Oryzias latipes: one gene and its partners. The protein of the gene in region 1 purifies or fractionates together with the protein of each later gene. This does not show direct contact. Links are inferred from orthologs where the notes say so. Each region holds a gene or a part of one and is shown on either strand. Other genes may lie near its edges.

The links. Proteins that work in one complex are often made in the same cells at the same time.
Region 2: the proteins of ncbp2 (region 1) and kpna1 purify together in Homo sapiens (affinity purification with mass spectrometry; 3 studies listed by BioGRID and IntAct, with this or other methods). This does not show direct contact. The link is inferred for Oryzias latipes from reciprocal best matches to the Homo sapiens genes NCBP2 and KPNA1.
Region 3: the proteins of ncbp2 (region 1) and kpna3 purify together in Homo sapiens (co-immunoprecipitation; 3 studies listed by BioGRID and IntAct, with this or other methods). This does not show direct contact. The link is inferred for Oryzias latipes from reciprocal best matches to the Homo sapiens genes NCBP2 and KPNA3.

What each region holds. Positions count from the first base shown.
Region 1 is NC_019862.2:17,993,150-17,999,074, reverse strand, and holds ncbp2 (nuclear cap-binding protein subunit 2), read right to left. Parts: upstream 3,718-5,925; 5' UTR 3,625-3,717; coding exon 3,550-3,624; intron 2,895-3,549; coding exon 2,808-2,894; intron 2,655-2,807; coding exon 2,560-2,654; intron 2,064-2,559; coding exon 1,925-2,063; intron 1,810-1,924; coding exon 1,711-1,809; 3' UTR 1,056-1,710; downstream 1-1,055. Other genes in the region: peptidyl-prolyl cis-trans isomerase FKBP2, read right to left, coding at 5,175-5,591. UniProt on the Homo sapiens protein: Component of the cap-binding complex (CBC), which binds co-transcriptionally to the 5' cap of pre-mRNAs and is involved in various processes such as pre-mRNA splicing, translation regulation, nonsense-mediated mRNA decay, RNA-mediated gene silencing (RNAi) by microRNAs (miRNAs) and mRNA export.
Region 2 is NC_019878.2:17,887,940-17,893,886, forward strand, and holds the start of kpna1 (importin subunit alpha-5), read right to left. Parts: upstream 3,923-5,947; 5' UTR 3,807-3,922; intron 3,189-3,806; 5' UTR 3,181-3,188; coding exon 3,055-3,180; intron 2,789-3,054; coding exon 2,675-2,788; intron 2,574-2,674; coding exon 2,474-2,573; intron 2,202-2,473; coding exon 2,107-2,201; intron 1,993-2,106; coding exon 1,861-1,992; intron 1,744-1,860; coding exon 1,655-1,743; intron 1,557-1,654; coding exon 1,457-1,556; intron 674-1,456; coding exon 510-673; intron 321-509; coding exon 242-320; intron 160-241; coding exon 34-159; intron 1-33. UniProt on the Homo sapiens protein: Functions in nuclear protein import as an adapter protein for nuclear receptor KPNB1. Binds specifically and directly to substrates containing either a simple or bipartite NLS motif.
Region 3 is NC_019879.2:9,658,371-9,664,224, reverse strand, and holds the start of kpna3 (importin subunit alpha-4), read right to left. Parts: upstream 3,923-5,854; 5' UTR 3,803-3,922; coding exon 3,734-3,802; intron 224-3,733; coding exon 179-223; intron 1-178. UniProt on the Homo sapiens protein: Functions in nuclear protein import as an adapter protein for nuclear receptor KPNB1. Binds specifically and directly to substrates containing either a simple or bipartite NLS motif.

The DNA of each region.
Region 1 (5,925 bases):
TTTGTTGCAATGAAGCATGTATGTAATGTAGACACTTAAAGCTGTTTTGATCAGATATCAATCAGTGATGGCTGGACTTTGTTAGGGTCAGAGCTATGAGGCACTTCTCTACAAATTGCCTTTTCTTTTTATTATTAACAAGAAACTAGCTTATTAAAGCTACTTTAAATCTAGAAAAATAGGTAAATAACCAAATTTGTCTCATATTCTTCTCTAATTGTGAAATGTACTACTGATGCTGAGAGATATTGGAACAAGTATAAAGTATTTTTTTTCAAACAATAAAAGCAAGTAAGCAATCCAACCCTGATCCAGAGAGATTATCGTTCTTCATTGACAATATGAAATCCAAATAGAAACTGGGACTGTGGCTCTAGCAAATATGGTGGAGAAACTTTTGCTACGCTCCTGCCACCTTGTGTTCAGTTTTTAACCAAGTATCAGTTTACTACTTAACCCTTTTGCTATCCTAGGCACTTTAACATTGGGAGTTGGGTCATCTAGACCCACTAGACAGTGCGCTGAACCTTTTTTCTTCAATGATTTGTGATCTTCACTGGTGTCCATGGATTACATGAAATCTTTCCACCTTTATCACGGTAGGGAGAACACGTCAATGGTCATCTTGACCCGATAGGATAACACAAGAGTTATAAAATCATCCTGAGCTTACCTTTATTAGAGGGGAAAACAAAAATGGAACTTTTGGCACATGGTTGGTGTGAAGAAAACTATAACTAAATGTTAGGTAGGATGACTTTTTTAAAGGTTAATCCATGTGAAAAACAGGAGAACTAACAACAGCTTTAAGAAAATTGTAAAAAGTCAACTTCTCTTAAAAAGAAAATCATCAAAAAAAGCAAAATTTCTTTTAGCATAGACTTAAATGATGCATCCTCATTTACATAAAGGAGATTGCAGCAAATATTTAAGTAATGTTAATAGCATACTGTTTTCAGACCTTTATAAAATTCATTACGTGGATTATAATATTCAATGAATTTTTTCATTTATTATCCATTTTGTATGATCAAAAGCTTTACAAATAAAACTGACAGTTTAATTAAATGTGTTTATTGTATAAAAAGTCTACAGAGACAAAATAAATTTAACATTTTGAATTCTTACCACAAGAGAAAAACAAACACAAAAAACCCACCCAATTAAACAAAGCTATAACTTTGTTAGAGAATTGCAATCAGAAGGGTAAAAAATAAAAAAGGAAACAGAAAAAAAACATTTCTTCAAAATAATTCACTGGATAATTTATTATCTACTGAACAAAAAAGTCTGGTATGACCCTTTATATTTCTTTAATTCCAAATAAGAGAAATAGGAGTGAGATGCTGCAGGTTTTTCAATTTAGAGAAAATGTTAACTGCACTCAAAAAGAATCATAAAACAATTTTAGAAAATAGTTTTGTAACTAACTGGTGACAAAAAAAAGAGTTAATAAAAGCTCCACCCCAGTAATGCACATTCACTACACCTAAACAAAATGTCTCAATTGTTAAGAAAAACAACAACATTCTATTTCAAATGGATTTGACTGATGATATCAGATTGAAATAAATGGTATTCATAGAAGATTTATTCCTTCTCTGTTCATCTCCAAGTCCTAGATCTCTTTGGACACTGCCTGCTTTTTGTTGATCATCAGGGAATAAATTCAGTCCTGTATGAAGTCCAATCAAAACACTCAGACTTGGTCTAAAAAGTATTGCGAGCTTCTGTGCTCCGCTGTTGCTGCGCCAGCTTCCCATAGCCTCCTCTGGCAGGATCGTAGTCCTGCCTGTACTCATCTCTCACCTACACAAAAACAGAGACAACAATCAAACATTTTCATAGACGTATGTACTTTGTGACGCAAACTGCATCAACAAACACTTTTGGACTTTTCACAGACACTTTAACCATATCTCACCTGTCCTCCAGACTTTCCTCGCCCGTACTGCCGGCCCTCTTTGAAGCCAGCATCCCAATCTGTCCTGATGATGCGATCATCCAGCCGTGTGCCATTAACGAAGCGCATGGCGTTTTCTGCATCTCCTCGTGTGTAATATCTGGCACGCCAGCAGTTAAATCCTTTCTAACAAAAGCTTCAGTCGGCTTGGGCTGCACTGGGATGTTACTGTCGGCTTCTTAATAAGTTTGATAGATTTCATGCAAAACAATTTCTACATTTAAACAGTTCTAAGGTATGTAATAAAACTAAGTTTGTACTCTGTAACCACAAGCAAAAACACTTTAGAGTGAACATTAACAGAATACCTACTATAACTGTAGTTAAGGTTTAAATTACTATACTCGCTGTGTGTTTTACAAACTCATTAGAGCCTAAATGGTGTAAATGTAGATACCTATGGAGCTTTGCCAAAATGATGAAGAAAAGTAACTGCCACAACACAAATCATGAGGTCTTAATTATTTAAAAGATGACAAAAATATTTATCAAATAATGTAAGTCATATGTTATTTAGGGAGATGGAATCACAAAATGTACATTTTTACCTTTGCATAGAAGATAAATCATCCATGTCTGGTTGTTCAAAAGGATACTCTACAAAGCAGAAGCCACAGGCAGTTTTTTTGACTTTATCAAGGCCGATGATGATCCTCTTAACATCTCCGCATTTAGCAAACAACTCATGAACCTGTTAAAAAGTCACCAAAGGAAAGAAATTAATTTTAAAAAAAAAAGACTTAAGACGTGAAAAAAAAAAAAAAAAAATTGACCTAATTATTTCATTACCAGGACTGGAGATCATAACTTCACATCAGTCTGAAGCAGAGTTGAAGAATCTCACCTGCTCCTCAGTGGTGTAGAAGGACAGATTCCCCACATACAAAGTGTTGCTCTGTTTCAGCAGCTTCTCCTGTTCATAACGGTTCCCCTAATACCGAACAAGCAATGAAAAATTGTCAACACTTGACAATTAATAGACATTTGGCACGAAAAAAATACAACACCTTTTTATTTCACCTCCTTTATTTCTTTAAGCTATAAATCAACCTGTGTAAGGCATTTTAAAAGTGGAAGGTTAAAATAAATAAATCTAATCTATAAATTTATTGCCCATTCGAAATGTTAACTATAGATTTTATTTTCTTGGGTCTTCTTGTGCTGCTGCCTCTTGTTGTCCACGTAGCACCCTTTTTTTATTTTTAAATATTTTTAAGATTCATTTATAAAAGGTTCTATATCTTCTAAAGCTTGATTTGAATTAAAGTAAAATTATGCATCCATCAAAACAACGAAAATAACGAACGAAACAGAAAAATAATTGTTTCAGTGTAGCAAAAGCTTTATTATTTTTATATTGAATTTGGACTAAGAAACAGCAATGCAAGCAATTAAAACGCGGTGTAATTAAGAGAATAACATGTTTGTTTTGTAACTTTACTAAAGCGATTGACAAGGAGCAAAATTATTGGTGCAATCAATTTAATTTTAAAATGAAGCATAACCGCGCTTTTGTTTTCACATGTTTTGCTAGCTTGATGGGTCTAAAACAACTCATATGACTTCTACGTTCATTTCTCACTTACCTTAAAATGTTGGTCCCTATACTGACTAACTTCAATGTAAGAATCGCTGTGTAAAGCGTTTAATTTAACAGACATTATGATGCAAACGGTCAAAAAGCCGCGTAACTGCTAACCAGTGTTAGCGTGAGAGGTATCAGTTCCGGTTGTGCGCTCGTTTATTGACTCCGGGTGGATATTTGACCTGGACATCTGACAGTCTTTGTTGTTGGAAACATAATTTTAAATACGATGAGTTATTGGTGATGCTCTTTTTCTACTCATGCTTTTAACTTTGTGATTAAAGGAAATATCTTTAACTTTGTTTTTCCTGTTATTGATAGATTTATTGCTTTCTTCTTTTGGGCGTTTTGTTCAGTTTTGCCTGGGTTATAGTTGTCACGTTTGTTCAAAGTTTGAAATAAATAAAAGCTCAAGCCTCATAAAAATTGGCGAGGAACTTAAAAAAAAGTATTTTCTGTTGTATGAAGATGGCACTTACAAAAGTCTATTTTTAGGTTAGTATATGTTGCCAATTACAAAAATGTAAAAACCTTATATTTCAAATGTTTGGATATCTTTCTTCTTTAAAATAAAATCACCAGCTTTTAAATCTGAATTGATATTTGCTTTACAGGTTTTTCTTTACTCTTTTAGAAAATATTGTAAAGTTTCTGAGATTCATTCAGAAACCTTTATGCAAAGCTATTCCATCTCAAGGGCACACAGAATTGCACCATCTTTGCATAGTATTGCACTGCAATACTCCAGCTGCAGACTATATGTGAAACGTGGAACCATGCTATTGGCTGCAGCCTGATTACAACAGTTTATTCTGTTCTGTCTTACTTTTTTCACATTTTTTTTAAATGTACATTAGATAAATGTTAGTATTTAAAACTGTTACTCATCCTTCTTGACTTTAACAGTTCTACTATATGCAAAATGCCTACTAACTGTCCAGAAGAGAAAACTTTTAGTCTTGTGCACAGATTTATCACATCTGTTTCTTGCTTTTGACTTCTGACACATTTAAACATTCAAAGTTCAAAAATTAATACATTGCAAAAAAAAAAAGAAAAAAGAAACAATTTAAACACAGGGTGGCATTTTATTTTTTGGAACAAAGTGAACACAAATGTTCCCCCCTAATCTGTTCCACTGATTCACTTTCATTGATTTAATGTAAATTTAACTACCTAAACAAATCAGAAATGTATTAGAGTTTGCATCAAAGAAATAAGAAATTAAGAATAACGTTGCTCAAAAGCAGGACAGTTCTTTAGAAAAGATGAACCCAGCTGCTGGCTGACAGTTTGCTACATAGCAAGTCCAAAACATGATCAGCTCATAATAAAGAGTTGTGGTTCTGCTGAGAAGTCTTGACTTGTATGTCAGTTTCCATCATGGTCTCCTTAATGCAACAGCAGCACCTGGAACCGGAAGACAAAACCAGAATAAATGAAAACAGTGGAAGACATGACAGGTGTTATAGTGTTATGGATGTGGGACCAAACATGTTCAAATAAATAAATAAAAACCTCACAGGTTTCTTATAATATTGTTCTAAGAGTAATCAAAGACCACCAGACAGTCAAGCTAATAATCCCACCTGCTACATCCTGTCAAAGTTCCCTTCCTTCTCGTCATCAAAGCTCAGATCTCCTCTCGATGCTGAGCAGCTCCACCTCAAAGATGAGCGTTGCTCCCCCGGGAATCTTCGGAGGAGCTCCCCGGTCTCCGTAGCCCAGCTCGGCGGGGATGACCAGCTTCCTCTTTTCCCCCTCGCACATCCCCAGCAGGCCCTGGTCCCAGCCTTTGATCACTTGCCCGGTGCCCAGGGTGAAGGTGAAGGGTCTGTCGCGGGGAATGCTGCTGTCGAACTCGGTGCCGTCCTCCAGTTTTCCGGTGTAGTGCATGTTCAGCACGTCTCCCTTTCGGGACTTGATGGGGCAGTTGTCCACGCGCTTCTTGATGCCAATCTGCAGCTTTTTCTTGTCGGCTCCGTTCACTGCGGCGGGACTCAGAGACAGCGCCGCAACCGCAACTAACCACAGCGCCCGCATAACTTATTGTTGATAAGCGAAAATTTGTAGTAAAGAATCAACTTTCAAATTTAACGAAGTACTTGGTGAGGAAAAAACCCCGACTAAAACAGAATGGTTTAGAAAGCGCATGCGCGAATGGGGGCGGAAGTACTTCTTCTTCTTCTTGTAGTTTAAATAGCGGGAGGCACCAACGTCAGGGTGCATTACCGCCACATACTGTATTGGAGTATGGGTCGGAGTTGGGGACTGCCTGATTCTGGTTCTGCTAAAAAAAAAAAAAAACTATAATTGCACCATTAAAATTTTCTTCCCCTCCCAAAAGCTTCTTTAAATTCAGCCGTTCACCCTCTGG
Region 2 (5,947 bases), on another chromosome or scaffold:
CAAGCCAACACGCTTGTGTCATGAAAAGCAAACCTGTATCTGTGCTCGATTCCCTGCTGTGATGTTAGAGATTGTCCAGCAAGCTTCTTTTTTAATAGATTCCTTGGGGCTGCTGAGCAGGTGAAGTAGTGACTGAAGGGCTGAGCAGTTCAGAATCACCTAGACAGACACCAATTTAAAAATGAATCTAACAATTCTAACTCAAAAGGCACTTTAGCTTAGTTTGTGAAGTTATTCTTACCTGTGTCTGCAGATCATCTCCAGTGACGATGTTTCCAACGGCCCTCAGAGCAGGGGAAACCACCTTGTAATCAGAATGCCTAGAGGGGAACCATTGATAAATTTCAAAACAATGTTCACAATAAATCCAAATCTAGCATTTCAATCCATACAAGAGGGCAAAAACATGCATGAGATTCCTCAATACTGAAAACATGCTTTTTCAACCCCAAATATCTTCATTTAAAGTCTCTGTCAAAATCTTTATTGTATTTTTATCTTTTACTTACAACAGCAGTTCCACCAGTCTGCGACAAACTCCTGAGTCAATAACAGCCTGGATTTTGTCATTTGGGCCGTCAGATAAGTAGGAGAGTGCCCAGCATGCATCAGCAAGGATGTCTGTGTCATGGACAAACAGCAGCCAAGAAAGCACGTTCAAACAGGGGGACACCTATGGAGAACATGAGAACAAGAGTAGTGAGAAATAAACAAAATTAAGCATCTTATGTCGCTCCTTTTTCAGTTCAGACCCTCCAGGACCTCACAGGCATTTTTTTTATTGTTGCGGTACAAAAAGCCTGAATTTGAAGCAGTTTTGTTAAAAGTTCTGACATTTTTCAATAATTTCCAACACAAGGCTGTAAGAGGACATACACATTTTAAAATGCTGTTTTTTTTCCAGTTGCTCTAAAGTAAAAATGTATCCAAGACTGTTTAATGTTTGCTTTTGTTGTGCAATATAGTTACATTAGAACAGAAAGAGATACTGTTGCATTAACCCAATGAACTTTGGGAGATGTAGTGAGTTATGATAAAAAACGTGCCACTTATGTTGAACAAATGTGAGTCTCCAAGATTCGTTATTATCTGTAGATTTTACACCGTCCAACACCAAAACCCGCTGGGAGCTGGCTGCGCCGCTAAAAACAATCTTTAGCTGGGATTTGTGGAGGGAACAGAGATTTTACCAGCCATGTTGGCACCTTTGATTGGTTAGACTGATGATGTACATGTTTGAGCCTCTAAACTTGATTGGCAGAAAGGGTTTTACAAGTAAAACTTTTTCCAAGTTACAGAGATTGGGTAAAGTTGCAATGTCAAGAAAAAGTTGCAAGTGTGCAATTCCAACATCTGAAAGTCCTGGAGGGTCGGTAAATAATTACCAACAATGGTTTTTAACTTAACTTGTTCTTTGGGAATGAGAGACATGTTAAGTATCATCTTGAGAAATTACCTTGGAGAAGTCAGGAGGAGGATTTTTGCCTCTGCACAGGTTAGACAGTGCCCAAACTGCATTCCTCATCATTGTTAAACGATTCTGTTTAGCCAATAATCTGAAAAAAGGAGTTCGATGTTCAAACATGGACTTGTTCATATTTATCTCACGTGAAACGAGAACCATAGAGCTGTTTAACAATAATCTGCTACTTACTGGATCAGGGATGGTAGAATATTGCAGTCTATGACAAAGTCTCTGCATTCTGTGCTATCACCTGCTATATTACCCAAAGCCCACACTGCCTACAGAAGAGGAAATAATTCAAGTTAGACATAAAAAAACGAATTTACGAAATATGTAATAATTTGAAAATAAGAATATGAAAAGAGATAAATATTGACAACAAAAATGTCCCTCACCTGTTCTTGCACATCTTCAAAATCCGAGGCGAGCATCTCTATGAATATGGGAACAGCTCCTGCCTGGATTACGACCCTAGTCTGGTGGGATGTGCCTGAAGCAATGTTGGTCAAAACCCACGCAGCTTCAAACTAAGAAAAACACGACCAATTTATGTCAGGACAGACAAAAAAAACTCCATCTAAAACACTATAGCTCATGATTACTAGACTAGCTGCATTTGTTCAGGCATTAAACCACTTTACCTGCAATGTGCAATTTTCTCTTCTTTTTAGGAACTCAACAAAACGCTCCACCACCCCTGAAGTGGCAATGACCTCATCAATAGGTGGATTGGGCTCTGTTGGAGACAAAAATTGAGACAATTTTTATTTAATTAAAAATTAAAAATAAATCAAATCAGAACAGTCTTTCGTTATTTTTGTAATATTAAAAAAAAATGAAAGAAATGAAGATGATGCAGCAAATTGAATTTGAACATGATCAAGATTGTTTCTAGTTCTAGATAACTTACAAGGCTGTTTAGCTCTAGTTAAACAGTAGAATGTGTTGATGCATTTGTTCATCGCTCTATGCGATATAGAACAGGCTGGCATTCAGCTAGACCTTTACCTTTAGAAAGGAGTTTTCTAAAGCGTTGTGTGCCTATTAGCTGCTGCTCTGGAGTGCTGGAGAAAATCATCTGAATCATGTCCTCAGAAATGACCCCACCCTTTGCAGAACATAGTAAAAACAATAACAGATCAGTCAAATTTATTGTGAAAGATGCAACAAACAACACCATAAAAAAGGTTTTATTGAGCTAATTCTCACCCCAAATGGGTCCATGTTGTTAGCCTGGGATTCCAGATAACCACTATCTGCCATTCCATCATCCTCCAGGGCACCATCATCCTCCACAGTGGCAACATTTCTTCTTTTAAATAGCTGCAAAGACACAGTCCTTAAAGTTGTACAAAGAAATAGTACAGCATCTTTTGGTTTTATTATTATATGTACTTTGACTAGGTAAGAAGCAGCATAACAAAAATAACTGCTGTTACCAGTTTGTATATCTTCTACTTGTCTTATATGGAAGTAACACAATTCCATATTGTAAAAACCTAAGCAATTTATGAGGGGGGAAAAAAGCTAGGAAAACACACTAAATTATTGTGTTTGATGGATGAATATAAAGTTTACACTTTACTTACTTGTTCGTCCTTCTTCTGTTTTCTGAGCTGCAGGCCTTCCTCTTCCCTCCTTCTTCTCATCTCATCTGTGTTGAGAGACTTGTTCTTGTAGCTCTTCAGTCGTGCATTATCCTTCCCCTGACTCATTTTGTAGCCTGAGAAAATGAAGAATTTTAGTCTCGTTAGTAGTCCCGGTGGTGCAGAACTTTAGTGTTACAGATCCTGGAAAACCCACATGTTGTAGATGTATTGTAATGTCTGTATTTTCTTTTACATTCTTCTGTGTATTTCTTCAGGTTTTCATGACAATCACCGCAATGTATAGCAAAACCAAGAATGCAGGTCGTTTTCAGACGTCTCGAACATATTACTCAAGATTGTCAGAAGGGCTTGTAGCAGTTAGCTTTATAGTTTGCTAGCTTTCGGCATGTTTGCCCAATACCAAAATCATTACTGTGGAACAAATGACTTTTCTTTCTATTTATAGAGAGATATGGGTTCTCATTAGAAATCAAGACATCAAACAGTCTATAGTAAAAAATGCTTATTTACTTAATTTCCCACATGATTAGCTTGTTGATGTCACAGCTCTTGCTAGCCTCTGCTGCTAACGAGCTAGCTTGACGTTAGCTTAGCTGAAAACCCCGAGTAACACATGCCTTTTAACAGCTTATTTGTCACCAAACTTTTAAACACACATACTAAAATCATTTATTCGTAATCTAAAAGCGGTAAAAGTATAGAACAACAATGTGTAGATACATTATACATACCTGTCAGTTTAGGTTTTATAATCCCCTAAATCGCTAAGCCACTGCTTCTGCTGCCGTCGCCGGTATGCCACTACGCATGCGTCAAATAAACGTATTCAGTGACGCTCCTTTGGCTCCACCCACACAAGGAGCTGGCCCTGGTAAACAAGTGAATAGTTGTGCGGTTTTCAAAAAAAATGGACACAAACTCTAATGATGGAGTTTCTTTTTGAAGCACAGTCGGTATGTGGGTATCGCAGTTCAATCAATGGCTGAAATCGTGCTTTCAAACTTCAAGGAGGGGTCGTGTGTGCAACACCTGCCCGCGTGCAGGTGTGTTTTTAAATGTTTTTGAAGTGGCCCTGACTAGACGATCCGGCGCCTGTGGTCTTTAAATGACCCGAGGTGGACACCGTGTCCATCCAAATGATGAAGTGGCCTTAAATGTTTGGGCTGCAAAAGATTAACAGATGTTAAAAGTGATACTTCTCAACAAAGGAAAAAGAAATTAGGATCATGACATAAAAAAATTAAGCTAAGCAATAGACAGAACCAACACAATGGCCTAATTGGCGCATACATTCAAATCTGCATCCCAAAAATAGCTCTTAAATTAGTTTTTTTAGCCTAATTTAACCTCCTTTTTATTCCTAAAAGTACGAATTGATACACCTGTAAAATAATCTGAAGAACAAAGCCTTTGAGTGCCCAAACATCTGCAATCATTGTTTCAGGTTTTATTTTGAAAGTATTTAAATTTAAAACTCTCCAGACTAACTTGGAACTGATCGAAATTTGTGTTCCAAAAATGGCCTCGGTGCAAACAACTGTGGATGTCCAGAGCGCGCACGTCCTCAGCGAGGACTGCTTTGACATGTGGCACGACTACATGAACCTGGGCGCACTCCTGCAAAGGCTGTGCAACCGGCGGCAGGTCGACCCCGAGAAGCCGAAGCAGGAACCCGCGGCGCCGTGGCGCATCATCCAGACGCAGAGCTCCGCAGAGACGAGCTCCGTCAGCAGCCTCTCGGACACCAGTTGCGGCGGGAGCCCCGCAGATTACTGCCGCTTCTGCAAGCAGAACGGCGAGACTCGGCAGGTCTACCGCTCGCACGCGCTCAGGTCGGACGACAGGAAGGTCACCTGCCCCATCCTCCGAAACTACACCTGTCCCATCTGCGGGGCCACCGGAGACCGCGCTCACACGCGCAAGTATTGCCCGCAAGCGCAGAGAGAGGATGCTGCGAGGATGCTGCCCGCCAACAAGTTCTGGTAACTGATGATGATGATGATCCCACTGAAGAGACCAGTTATCCACCGTTGAGACAATGTTTTCAGTTAAACACCAAAGGAAAAACCGAAATCATCGTTACAAGTTTTTAGAGTCTATAGCAGTTTCAGAGCTGGTTCATGTTTGACTTTAAAAATCTGCTTGATTGTCAATCTGCAGCTAAAGAAGGTGATTTCTTACTTTGAAAACATTTTCCGTTTTTTAAATAACCTTTCATAATTTTTTTAAAAACAAGTCTGTTGTGTTTTAGATACAAAATGTTATATTTTTTGAAAAAAGGTTTTGAAGCAACAATAAATCGTTTCAAAACTTTTTTGAGAAGTTGTCTTTTTAAAGTTTTCAGCCACGATGACGTCATATTTTCCTGCATGTTTGGTTGGACCTAAGTTGAGGTGTGGAGATATATGTAAACAATATTTATAGACTCGTGTGAAGATTAACTCACCATTTCATAACTTAAAAGCTCGTGTTTGAGACCAAACCGAAACTGCTGTGAAATCAGTTTTGATGCCTTTGACAAATACAAATCAAATAAAATAAAAACTGGAATGTTGTGTGGCAAGCTTTTTATTAACCAAATATAGTTTAAAAGGTCTCCTAATTTGTTTAAGCTTGATTTTGGGGTTTTAGATGATGAAAAAAGCTTATATCAAGCTTTGTTATTAACCAAATCCTTAAGGCTCTGTCTTTTTGGTCTTTAAACCTTATTTATCTCACAGGGAAAAATTTACTCATCGTGGTAACTCAAAGAAAAGAGACAAGTGCTACAATTACAGCTCACGAGATATCAGATTAAACAAACAAATGAGTAAATAATGTCATGTAATAATAATGTAGTTATTTGGTTCGCAGACTTGACATGAAAGCATTT
Region 3 (5,854 bases), on another chromosome or scaffold:
ATTCAGAAAATAAAATGTTGTGCAAGTTCTATCTAAATATCAAATGGCTCCTTCATGCCTTTATAAGAGAATGTCCTTTTTGGAGCAGCTGAACTAGTCAGGAATCTGATGCTGGGAGCAGGAGTGTCCGATATCACCTGGTGTGATTGGCGTCTTAAGAAAAGGAGAGGTTTCTTACCTTTCTTAACTCCACTGTCACTTCATTTCGATGTCTTCTCATAGTCTGAAAGGAACAAAAATATATGTTTTTAATACGTTTAACCATTTCATGGCTGTGTAATTGAGACAATAAAGCTTGCAAAGCTGGAATAACATAAGATGTGAATTTAACAAACAATAATTTGGGGATTTACACAGAATGATCCAAACATGAACTAAACAAAAGTACTCAGTGGTTAGTGAATTACCAGCTGACTTTTAATCAAGGACAATTATATCCTTAATATCAAAGATTAGGCAACATTTTAGTAGAAGAGGTTTCCCAAAATCCTAAACTAAATCTATCACAACAAAACTAAAAGGAAAAATGAGATAAATATTTGTGTCCATTTTTGTTTCCCAGTAACAGAAACTGCAAATAATCTTCAAAAGAAGCTGAGGGCATTTGGTGTGGTTTTGGAGACAGGGTATACATTCACGGAAACACCAGGTGGTTTTCCGATTTTTACAGAGGAAAGCGGCAAAGTGGGGCATCTCAAAGGACATTCTTCGAAACCGTGCAGAAGAGACTCTTCAAGGTGATGCTTTCCATGTAAGACAATGCAAAACCAGATTCAGCACCTCTAATGCCTTCGTCACAACTACCCTTATACTGGCTGAAAAATGGGCATACCTGCAGGTGGCCCGCGAAGCTGTAGACCTTGTGGTATCTTGTGGGGTCAAAATGACCCCACCCTGACATTGACCTGTTATTCCTACTCTGACAAAGGTGGAAAAAGGTGAAGAGGATTTCATGTAATCCATGGACACCAGTAAAGATCACATATCATTAAAAGAAAGAAGGTTCAGAGCACTGTCTTAAAAATTCTAACAAAAATGAAAAGTTACCCAAAAACCTGTTTGGCAGAATACCAAGACTTTTTTTTTTTTAAAAAGCTGTAATATTAATAAATCAAACGATTGCCAGTCTTCTTGATTAAATTTGCCACCCCCATGTTTGCATGGATGTTTACAGCTAAACGAATTCCTATCAGCAACACGTGTACATTCATATGGCTGACCTGCAGCTGCCTGCATTTTATTAATTTGTATTTTTTGCAGTCTTTGCCTTTGACCACGAACACTTAGATTATGTGCTCTGCTATGCAAATACTGGAAACTAGCCAAGCATAAACTGCAATTTAAAAAAGCAATGCATTCCTTTTTCAAAATCATTATCACCAGGGTGAATTAGAGTCGTACTACAAGCAAATGTGACATGACTGTACTCTGCAGCAGTGTTTTTAAAGAATCAGGGAGGTCAGCATCAAATAAAGCAAATGTTTAAATCATATTCTTATAGGAAGCATAATGTCTGGAGTGAAGGACTTTACAGCAAACATGACAGAACATGATTTAGGAGTCACATGAAGGACTACAAATGGAGCCGGTACAATTAATTAACAAATAAATCTACAAAGAAATAAGACATTTCTCATACACAACAAACACACCACTATGCGGTTTGTTTAACTTGTTTCATGTAAATTTTTTATGGAAGGTTGGTGTGTGACTCCATACAGTTTTCCATACCAAGGCCTTGAAGTTTGGAGTGCTGTAAGGCTTCATGAGGCTTCATTCACTCATCACCTTTTTTCCTACACAATGTTTCCGTTCGTCAGACACTGTTGGTCTCACTTTTCTGCATAATTTTGTTTCTTTTTTGTCTCATTTCCTAAATTTCGCTCATCGTACAAAAATCCCATGGTATTCACTTAAAACAGAATCTTACTTACATTCACTCCTGCAGTTTAGTCTGTTAGGATACAGACAGGAGCCTGAAGGTCATATTTTCAGTTATACCAAAGTGATGCCGCATATTCCCACAGAAAGCACCTAACAGGGAACCACACGGATCTATTAACAGGTTTCCTGTTGTTTATCCAAAACACGGAGATGTCCTAAGATCTTGTGATGCTTAAAAAACAGGTTCATGTTTCCTTCTTAAATAGCCACTCACGTAATCAGGAACTGTTATAAATAAGAGGGCAGTGGAGAAGAGAGGAGCCTCCCAATCACTGCAAACATACAATAAAATACAATACTTCTTAGCTTTTCTCTACTTCTCCTGTATTAGTGACAAGAACAAAGAATACATCCAGGATGGCTGACTTAAAAGCAAACAAGCTCAAATGGACATGTCTCTCCCTGATGCAGTATGGGTCACCCACTGAAAAGTCCAGTTCATGCTGGGGCTTTAAGAGGCCCAGGGTCAGACATCCGAGATTCCTGAAATAGCATCAGGAATGCAGCAGGCACCGTCTGTGTGTCATGGTAGCCATGTGCTTGTCAGCCTGACCCAACTTTCAAAACAACAACCTGTGTTGGTGTGTTCAGTTGGGGTACTCCAAACACTGAGGTGGATTTTTCAGACACACTTTTGTTTAGGGATTATCTCAGGATTAGACATAGATCACAATAACCCAGGCACAAGTGTGTCATTGTTATTAAAACCTTTGGCCTAGAGCGCTTTGATAAACATCTTGTGGAAAAAAAAGTTTCAAAAATATGCGTTTAATGAAATAATCTTTTGTTTTCTTACCTAACCTAACATCAATTAATCCAGACTGTTGCCTCATCATGCAGGCCTAATGCAAACAAGAATTCAGAAGGATTTGTCCTCCTAATTTCACTTGTTATGAGAATGATGCAGCAACAAACTTGATTAGATGGTACAGTAGCCTGTGAGGCCCAAAAACAACAGACTGTCTACCACTAAACCCGACAGAATCAAACACTTGTGTGAAAGTACAATTCTGAAATCTGGAATTCCAAACAGTCAATACTATGTTAACCAAACTGTTAGGTAGATTAAAAAAACTAATAATTGAAGAGTTATTACGTTTAGAATTTATTTGTTTGTACAATTTGAAACTAAAAGATAACACGAAAACAGTAAACGGATTGTAATTGTTGATCTGGGTTTATTTCCTTGTAGCCTGGTTTACCTGAACCACCTGGAAATTAATGCAAGCTTGATGAGGTTAGCAAGCTAACGATCAGCCAGGACAGGAGGAGGTAAAAATGTGACCTAGACCGGAAATTGATTACAACATTTACAACTGTTACACAAGGTATGGTGACCGTGTGTGCCGCAGGTAACAGTGACGCAGACTACTGGTGGTTCACTAATATACGGTATATATAACGCTGATGAAGCCGGCCAGGCCCAGCCCCGCCTGCGACCGGTATCCATCCAACCAGCTAGCTAGCTAGCTAGTTAGCCGGTAGTGACAGCTTCGTCGCCTACCGTTAATCAGACTGACTCTGTGAGAGATTGCTGTTCACAGCTACTCATGGACTAAAGTAACACACATTGTGTTAACCAATACCCAATCACAACACTTTGAATACAAAATATTATTACACACAATCGAACAGATTGACAGATTTCATAGCGAATTCTTCCTGATGGCTTGCTAGCTGACTTGTAAGCAAACTGTTTCAGTAGGGGCCAGGGCAAACGAGGCCCTTTTAATACCTGAAAATGGTTCCGTTCGTGGTGTTTAAAAACCACGGGTTTGTCTAAGCTCACCTCGACATCACGCCCTTTATTTTTGAAGCTCTTGATGCGGTGGTTTTCCAAGCCGGCGTTCTCTGCCATGGCTGTGCGGGCTTTAGCTAATATACTCCCGTTTTAGTGGATCTCCTCCGTCAAAGACTAGGCACGGCTCTTCTTGTGCTGCTGCTGTTGCCGTTGGCCCCACAGAGGAGGAGGGGGAGGAGTGATCGTAGCAGATCGCGGAGGGGTGGGAGGAGTCAGAGCATACCGCCCACCACTTACCCCTCCCATCCCGATGGGCTGTCCCTGGTATCCAAGGCTCCCAGGATGCAGCACAGTTGGAATAAAAACCTGCTTTTGGACTAACATGTTCTTGTAGCATTTTTCTGATGATGGTGGACAGAAAATTGAGCTTGAGACAGATAGATCAATATACGTCTTTGTTTTCCTCGTCTGAGCTGACATCTTGATCAAAACTGTACACCTGGATAGCTCCAGTATTGCTCACTATTTTTGTTGCACCGGTAATGTAAGGTGGGGCATCTAAGGGACTGTAAGCTAGTGGGAGAGGATGTTGACAGATGTATAATGGGAATAAAAACAAAACCGTAACTGCAGCCGCACAAGACCCAGTACGATCATCTTTTAAGCTATTTGCAAAACGTTCAGAGTGATCTTTTTATATTGATTATGCCGTTTTTATCCAGCCGTACAGTTTCAAGCCAGATTCTGGCTTGAAACCCTCTCGGGGCCCCCGGTCGCTCTGGGTGTCACCCGCTTCGGCTGCGGGGTCTGGGGTGGGGTGGGGTGGGGGGCTTGTCGGCCCTGTCCTGTGGGGGGGCGTTCTGGGGGGAGGGGGGGCCCATTATTAGTACGGGTCGGGGGGGCTAGCGGGTCGGGGTCTCCGCTGAGGCAATCAGTGGTTGCCTCGGCCGGTTGGCCTCCTCGGTCCCGTCGAGGCCTGACCAGAGCTCTTCTAGGGCCGGCGTCTGGGGGTGGGGGCCTGGGCTTGCTCCGGGGGGGGGCGACGCTTTCTGGCTCCTCTCTCTCTGTGTGGGGTGGGTGGTGCCGGGCCTGGGGTGTCGGCGCCTCCGGGGGTGGGCCCCTGGGCTGGGTGGCCCTGGCCCCTTTGCTGGGGGTGGGCTGGGGGACGGCTGTTTGACCACCGGGGGACAGTCTACCAGCTGTCCCCAACTTACCCCCTTCCTTATATAACCTCATATTAGGGTGAGGGGGTGGGGGGTCTAGCCTGCGATGCGCCTTGGGGGGGGGCTACTTGGGAGTGGCCCCCCTCCTATGGTTGCCGTATGGAGTGGGCCCCCCCTCTTTCGGTTTTATTTGCACCTTAGACATGTAGGGTCCTTGGTAGGGGGGGTGCTTGGACATCACTGCAAGCAAGCAGCAGATGTCCTCCTGGCACCCTACCCGCCAATTTTAACCGCACCTTAGACATTTAGGGCCCCTTGGTGTGGAGGGTGAGGGGACATCACTGTGAGTAATCAGGAGATGTCCCCTTAGTGCCCTACTCGCCAATTTTAACTGCACCCCCCTTAGTACACACACCCCTCCCCCTTCAATATATACATTCAAACATAAACACACACACATGCACACAAACACCCTCTCAAACACCCATACACGCACACACATTTTACAAGGAAGGTGGGACCTGGGTCCATCTGTCCCCTAGCCCTTCCCTGGTGGGGGGTGCGGGCCCCTTGGCGATGGCGGCCGTGTCCCTTGGGTGCCGGCTCCCTGGGCCCGGCGGTGCTCTCTCCGCACGGTGGGGGGGTTCATATTACACCTGAGCCGGGGGTGTTCGTGTCCCTGGGGGGTGGGTCCTGGTCCTTGCCCCTGGGCGCTGGGCCCCGCCAAACTTCCAACATGGCCGAGCCTGGTCGGGCCATATTTATAACATCCCTTGTGGGCCGCCCTTTTTTCCCCGGGGTTCCCCCCTCCTGTGGGGGGGCGGCGGGCCCCTGCCTTGCTCCTACCTGGACCAACCGTGGGCCGGGTGGGTGGCTGCCTGGAGTGCGGAGCGGGTCTCCCTTGGGGGGTCCTGGCTCGTACCTGGGGTCGGGGCGGGGGGATGCCCGGAACTCCTGGGTGGTGGTGGGGTGCTCGTCTGGGGCTGTGGGCGTCCCTCTCCGGTGG